Linked DNA regions of Arabidopsis thaliana. The protein of the gene in region 1 interacts with the protein of each later gene in a pairwise test. Each region holds a gene or a part of one and is shown on either strand. Other genes may lie near its edges. The genes, in order: AT4G32285 and RGS1.

Region 1 (3,925 bases):
TTTCCAAAGCCAATAATAAAAGAACAAAAGCTTTTAGTTTCATCAAAGACGAAGCTGCCTTAGAAATGGAGTTGGATCTTGGTCTATCTCTTTCACCTCATAAATCTTCCAAGTTAGGGTTTAACTTTGACCTCAACAAGCATTGTGCGATCGAGGGTGCTGCGTCTTGTTTGGGTACCGAAAAACTGCGTTTTGAGGCGACGTTTGGGTTAGGGAATGTGGAGGAAAATTGTTATATGCCAAAACAGCGTTTGTTTGCCTTGAATGGCCAGCCCAACGAGGAAGACGAAGATCCTCTGGAATCCGAGTCTTCAATAGTTTACGAGTGAGTACCTTGACTATTTTAGTATTTGACAACAATTAGGTTAAAGTAGTTACATCTAGTATTATTATATAATAAATGACTCCGTAGTTTTCAAAAATGTTATGATGTTGTAGACTTGTAGTTAACTCAATGGAGAGGCATAATTTGTATTTTTTTGTAACATATAATTAATTTTAATATTTAGTGATGAGGAGGAAAATAGCGAAGTTGTTGGATGGCCACCAGTAAAAACATGTATGATAAAGTATGGTAGTTATCATCATCGTCATATTCGTAATCACCATCATTGCCCGTATCATCATCGTGGTAGGAGGATCACGGCGATGAACAACAACATATCTAATCCAACAACGGCTACTGTGGGATCATCATCTTCTTCGTCAATATCATCAAGATCATCAATGTATGTTAAGGTTAAGATGGATGGTGTGGCAATAGCAAGAAAAGTGGATATCAAGCTTTTTAACTCTTACGAGTCCCTCACTAACTCCTTGATCACTATGTTTACCGAATGTAAGTACTAATTACGTTTATCAAAATCTAGAGTAAGAAACCTATAAACAATTGAAAATAGAACGTAACTTTTTACTACTATTGAATCTAATTTTGGGTTATCAGATGAAGATTGCGACAGAGAAGATACAAATTATACATTCACCTTCCAAGGGAAAGAGGGTGACTGGCTACTTCGAGGGGATGTTACATGGAAGTAAGTTTACTTCTCTATATTTCAAGAAAAATGACTTATTGAGTAATGACTACTATACTCTCTTTCTTATATATTGATACTTAACTTGTTGTTTTGGTTTTGTAGGATCTTTGCGGAATCTGTTCATCGGATATCAATAATTAGAGATCGACCGTGTGCATATACAAGATGTTTGTTTTAAGGATAGGCGTTCAAATCGGACCATTATTTTTTATTTTGTAATTAAAATGTCTATCATTTGATTAAATTTCCACTCGATCTTTTTCCTCTATTCTTCTAGTTCTTAGTATCAAATCCAATGGTTTATAATCTGTTGTTATCTGATCCATGGCTAACACATGGACAAAAAGCTAAAGAAAATTCAAAAGTAAAAAAAACTCATGAATTGTCAAAGACAGACTAGCTGATAATAATTAAGATGTTAGACTTTTTGTGTGTACCGAATTGATTTTTTTTTCATAGACTTGTTTGATTGAGAAACCATAAGAATGTAATGGTTGCGGACGTCCGGGTTTTACACAAGTAAGTATGTCACTTTATGTGATTCAAGAGATTTCCAAGTAATTAAATTTTGGTTTGAATTAGATCGGAGTACGATTTTAAATTGTGAGTAAACAAGGGGAAAAAAAAAAGCATGAGTAAACAGAAAAAAAATGACATAAAAACTGATACATTTCTTAAACAATTTAATTAGCTGAATAGCTGATAACAAAATTTAAAATGAATATTATTGATCTTAGCTTAAAATGCGTAATTTAGATTAAAATATTAATCAATAATGAATGATATATAAGAAAATCTTTTATTAAAATGGTTATTATATTTACAATTTGCATAAAATTATATCATAAGTTTATAATCTTTAAATTAAATAATATGACAAACATAATCTTTATATAAGGAAAATAGATATTTTAGTGAAATTTAGAGAAACACAACTTTAGATCTACTAAAGTTATGAATGAAACAATCAAACAACTGTAAAAAGATCCCTACAAAAATTGAAAATTATTTAATTACCAAACAAAACAAAAAGAAAAGACATCTTCACCGATACGTTCGGTGTTCAGACTTGAGTCTCTCTCGGACACACGGCTCCCGTCAATCCCGGTCACAAACCAAACCTTCGCATCTCTATCTGTCTCTTCAGATCGACGGCTCTAATCACTCCACGTCAGCTTGGACTCATAACTCTCTTATTAAATTGGTGTCTCTCTGTCTTTAGACACTTCATTTTGACTGGTTCGGCGAATCTGCTCCTTTAGTCATCTTCTCTTTTGAGAAAAGATAGATCTTCTTCACCTTCTTCATTGATCTCAGATCCCGATCCCGTCTCCTTATCTTCCGCCGGCGACTTCTTCATTTTTCTCTTCTACCTACCACCTCTTAATCATTCTCTCTCCCCCCGCAGATCTAGCGAATCGGTATTTATCTCCAAAGAAAAATTCAATCACAATTTCTCGTTGGATTCTCCATTAATTTCTCAACCAAATTGCTACTTTTTCTTTTGTTTGTGGTTTTTGAAGAATTCGAATCCTTAAGTAGTAGTGGAATCATGGCGCTAAGCATGCGAAAAGCGATCGGAGTTGTTAAGGATCAGACTAGTATCGGCATAGCGAAGGTAGCTAGCAACATGGCTCCAGATCTGGAAGTTGCGATCGTGAAAGCTACAAGCCACGACGATGATCAATCTAGTGACAAGTATATCCGCGAGATCCTTAGCTTAACTTCACTCTCCCGTGGCTACGTTCACGCCTGTGTCACCTCTGTTTCACGCCGTCTTAAGAAGACGCGTGACTGGATCGTTGCTCTCAAGGCTCTTATGCTTGTCCATCGTCTTCTTAACGAAGGAGATCCACTGTTTCAGGAAGAGATCCTCTACGCTACACGACGAGGTACGAGGATTCTTAATATGTCTGATTTTCGTGATGAGGCTCATTCTAGCTCTTGGGATCACTCTGCTTTCGTTAGGACATATGCTAGTTACTTGGATCAGAGGCTTGAATTGGCTCTTTTTGAGAGAAGAGGGAGAAATGGTGGTGGTAGTAGTAGTAGTCACCAAAGTAATGGTGATGATGGATATAATCGATCTAGGGATGATTTTAGGTCTCCTCCTCCAAGAACTTATGATTATGAGACTGGTAATGGTTTTGGTATGCCTAAGAGGTCGAGGTCTTTTGGAGATGTGAATGAGATTGGAGCAAGAGAGGAGAAGAAATCTGTTACTCCTTTAAGAGAGATGACACCTGAGAGGATTTTTGGAAAGATGGGTCATTTGCAGAGGCTGCTTGATCGGTTTTTATCTTGTCGACCCACTGGTTTAGCCAAAAACAGTCGGATGATCTTGATTGCCATGTACCCGGTTGTGAAAGAGAGTTTTAGGCTTTACGCTGACATCTGTGAGGTCTTGGCTGTTCTGCTTGACAAGTTTTTTGATATGGAGTATACTGATTGTGTTAAGGCCTTTGATGCTTATGCTAGTGCGGCTAAACAGATTGATGAGCTCATTGCGTTTTACCATTGGTGTAAGGATACTGGAGTGGCGAGATCTTCTGAGTACCCTGAGGTTCAGAGGATTACGAGCAAGCTGTTGGAGACACTAGAAGAGTTTGTGAGAGACAGAGCCAAGAGGGCCAAAAGTCCTGAGAGGAAAGAGATTGAAGCTCCTCCTGCTCCTGCTCCTCCTGTGGAAGAGCCAGTGGATATGAATGAGATCAAAGCGCTTCCTCCTCCTGAGAATCACACTCCTCCACCTCCACCTGCACCAGAGCCTAAACCGCAGCAACCACAAGTAACAGATGATCTAGTTAACTTGAGAGAAGATGATGTCTCTGGCGATGACCAAGGAAACAAGTTTGCTCTTGCGCTTTTTGCTGGCCCTCCCGCTAATA
Region 2 (3,925 bases), on another chromosome or scaffold:
ATCAACTCAGAAGTCTGTTAAAAAGGTATTCCAACTGCAAATATAAAGAACAGTCCTGGTATTAGCTTTCATACCGTGACTAAAAGCACAAATCTTGAAGCAACCTGAAGCCAAGAGATTTCTTCATGAATCTCATTCAACACAAACGCTGTTACCCATATAACGATTGAAGTGGCTGAGACGAGAATTCCTTTCCAGAGATCTCTAAGCTCGTCAAAACGAAACTCTACATGTCGAACTGCTCTTGTGAATGCAATTAAAGCAAGGACATAGAGAGCATGAAGGCCTGCAACTGGGAAAGTCCATTGAAGACCCATGTGGCATTTATCGTTGAGAGGCTTTGTTGCGTGGATAACTAAATGCAAAATCAAAAGCTTTGAGTTATTATTATCCAAAACAAGAGAAACCAAGAACTGCTCAGTACATATAACGTTCAGAACAATTCTTACTTGCAGCTCCGAAGATCCATGGCAACAAAACAAGGGGGAGGAAAATGTATGATTTTACCGGAGGTAGACGTTTCCTACATTGCAAAGAATATGTAACAACCAAACAGCATTAAACTCAATTACACCAATAGAGATAGAATTGGAATCCAAAAACATTTTGATCAACATTGAACCTCACTTGACAAATATGAAGTATAGTTGAAATGCCTGAGTTATACGGCAGCTCATCAACAAACCAAACCCAAGTGGTCCTTCAATCCACACTGAAACCAAATTATACAAGACTTATTGATATAACTGTCAATTTGTTTACGAAGATGAGGAATCATGGTTTCCAAACAAACCTGCCCAAAGATAGCAATATCGCCACCAATGTTTCGTCCTGAATCGAAGCAAATTAACTGACATCTGAAAATTAAATATAAAACAGTCTATTAGTGTAGAAACTCAACAAATGAAGTGATTCTTAAGAGCAACGGAATCATCAAGTCAAGTAGTCTAACCATAATTGAGAAGAGAAGGTTGAAGCTGGAGATAACTTGAATAACAGGGATCCAGAAACTGCTACTGTTAGTACGAGGAGCCTTATGAATCAAACACGGTAACACTGAGCGCGATAACAGCCTAAATAAACAAAGTGAAATCCATCAGATAGAATCAACTTAATAGAGAAATTGAACTACTTGGAAGTTAACTCATGATACAAATCCACTCAATTAGTCCATTAAATCAAGCTTTTGAACTTCAAATCTAAGTTCAATAATCGATTCCGACATAATATATGAATCTTGCTATCAAGATACTGAAACCATCTAATTCCCAGCTAAAAGAAACTGAAACGAAACAAAAGACAGATCTTTTGATACATAACATCAAACACTTACAATACAAAGAGTTAAAATAGCAAAGAGAGACATCGTATGAAAATTTTAAACGATTAAAGACACAAAATTCGAGATTTTGACTCAAGTCAAGAGTCAACAAGCAAACCCAGTAAATGAAAAATCTAGATCTTCAAAACTAAAACCCAAAAATGGGATTTTTAAGCTCGAACACATACACGAAGAAGCAGATGACTGAAATTGCGACGGCGACGTAATCGCTGGGACAACCACCATGTAGAGCACATCCACTCGCCATTTCTATTGTAGCATATCAGCTCTCTCTTCTCCACTCGCTTTCTGGGTTTTTGAGATTTTATTTGGTTTCAAAGCTTGTTGCTTTAATGTCAAGGTAAAGTGTGCAAATTTCTATAAATTCAATAAAAGAAACTTCATTTATCGATGTTGAAACAAAAAGCTTTAAAAGATTCACACTTTCGCATAAGAGAAGAGACGTCTCTGTCTCTTCATTGTTCACGTTTCTCTCTTCTTCTCTGACTTTTTTGACCAGAAGACACTTCCTTTTTCCGGTAACAATTCTGATTGGTTTTTCACTTTTCACTTCTATAATTATAGATTTTTCATACTTGTCCTTTGTGACAAGTTGGTACATTAAAATTACAATAACCACCCTCTATTATAGATTTTTGACATAACCACCCTATACTATTGAGAGATTTCACAAACCCACCCATTAAAATTGTATACTTTTTTAATTCAACCCTGTTGTAAATTTTGTTTATTTCACTCCAATGACTTGATCTTGGAACTATATCGCCACAACAGACCTCCCACCAAATTGTTGAGTGCGTGCGAGGCCATTGGAACGATAAGACTCGACGACAAAACAGCTGCATAACCGTAGACTATACCGACAATCGAAGCCCTGAAAATTTCAAGAAACCGCAAAGAATTCAATAGGAAAACCTCGGAAATGTGATAGAGAGATGCAAGAACATGTTAAAGGCAATCATCTAATATCAAGATTCGGTCTACGCAATTCTCATCAGCATTGAGGTACCAAAATGTTCAGTAAAAACGGCTTACCAAACTGCAAAAGAATACTTTCTTCCGCTCCCGAGATGAAGTAAACCGAAAATGAGGCCAACCGCTACAATACCATTCCAATTAGTTCCGAACAAAGGCATTAATGCACCTCTAAACAGCAGCTCCTGTGAATACACCAAATCAAACCAATGAACGACATTTTCTAAAGGAGAGCCTTTCTGTGTTTTATTGTGATTGTTTATTGTTACCTCACTTATTCCCGGTAACATTGCAACAACAAGGTAATCTAGAGGTTCGAGGGAAGTGAGAATCTGCAAGTAGTGAATACCAAAGGAGACAATAAGCGGAGTTTAAAGAATCGTATAAATGTATATAATGTGTAATGTTTTGACCTGTCGGTTTGCTGCTTCACTAGAATCAGCAAAATCTGGCCAAGATTTAAGTAGCAAGAACCTACTTGACGATATAAACACAACGATTCCAGCAATTAAACCGAGATGCCAAGTTTCAAACCCAACTGCAAGAAAGATCATGCAATACAAAACATGTTTTGGTTACTGAATCTCTCAAAGGATTCTTAGTACACAACATAATCGTTTTCCGAGATGTTACATGGTACATCTATAGAGCAGTCTGGAACCAGTAATCCTTCAGTCGAAGCAACATGAGACGCCTGCAAGCGGTAACCAAATCAGCAAGATACAAATGCTAGAATCACAAAATCATAAACTTTCAGATTTGGGATTCACCTTTCTGATGATCAGACCTAGTGCAGCCATCAAACCGGAAGTTACAGTGCAAGCCTGAAGCACTTTGTCTCGAGGAGCAGCAACAAAAACATCAATGGAGTCCTTTGAAGTTGAAGAATCAACTTGAGCTTCCTCAAATCTTGGAGAAGAAACTTCTTCATCTGTAACATTTCTTAAGCCTATGTCTTTACCTTGTTGTGACTCTCTTTTGAGTTTCTTAAGTGATTTACGACTTGAAGAGGCTCTTACATCAAACTTAAAACCCAAAAGACAAAATAAACAGACTATAGTATAAGAGATCATCTGTTCGGACCAAGAAGCGGCAACATTAAAGAATCTTACTTGTACTCTTCGAGCATCATATAGCTTAGGGTTCGAGCCAACTGATCATCAAGTAAGCAAATTTCAACCAAAAATCTTTGTCGAATTCTCATATATATGATCATATCAAGTTAGGAATCGCACTTACCTACCTGGACGAAAAAGGAGATGAAGAGAAGTTGAAGCTCCTCTGCTCCAAGATTGCAGAGCGATGGAACCCATCCGAGATTTTCGCCTGCCTTCTCAAAGTTTGTCGCTTTGATTCATAAGAGAGACTCTGTTTCCAATATAAAACAAATGAAGAGTTTCACGAAGAAGAAAGCGTCGAAATGAGAGGTCTGTGTCTCGCCAGCTTCATACGGCGTCGTTTATCAGAGAAAACGCACCAAGAAAGAAGAAGAAATGAAACCAAATTTTTATTGTAACATATTTCAAAAGAAGAGGACATGAGTCCTTTTCTGATTTTCTGTACCGAATTCAAAGTTTAGAGCTTTTTTAATCTAATGTGGTGCAATGT

Evidence for each region.
Region 2: the proteins of AT4G32285 (region 1) and RGS1 interact in a two-hybrid assay, tested with the Arabidopsis thaliana proteins (one large-scale study listed by BioGRID).

Annotation. Positions count from the first base shown.
Region 1 is NC_003075.7:15,583,414-15,587,338, forward strand, and holds the start of AT4G32285 (ENTH/ANTH/VHS superfamily protein), read left to right. Parts: upstream 1-2,029; 5' UTR 2,030-2,458; exon of another isoform or gene 2,459-2,560; 5' UTR 2,561-2,589; coding exon 2,590-3,925. Other genes in the region: IAA29 (indole-3-acetic acid inducible 29), read left to right, coding at 66-325, 510-838, 944-1,034, 1,140-1,215.
Region 2 is NC_003074.8:9,530,547-9,534,471, reverse strand, and holds the start of RGS1 (REGULATOR OF G-PROTEIN SIGNALING 1), read right to left. Parts: upstream 1,860-3,925; 5' UTR 1,590-1,859; coding exon 1,510-1,589; intron 1,074-1,509; coding exon 953-1,073; intron 858-952; coding exon 794-857; intron 713-793; coding exon 628-712; intron 524-627; coding exon 450-523; intron 356-449; coding exon 75-355; intron 1-74. Other genes in the region: AT3G26085 (CAAX amino terminal protease family protein), read right to left, coding at 2,075-2,216, 2,378-2,502, 2,587-2,649, 2,731-2,855, 2,951-3,011, 3,088-3,470, 3,561-3,630.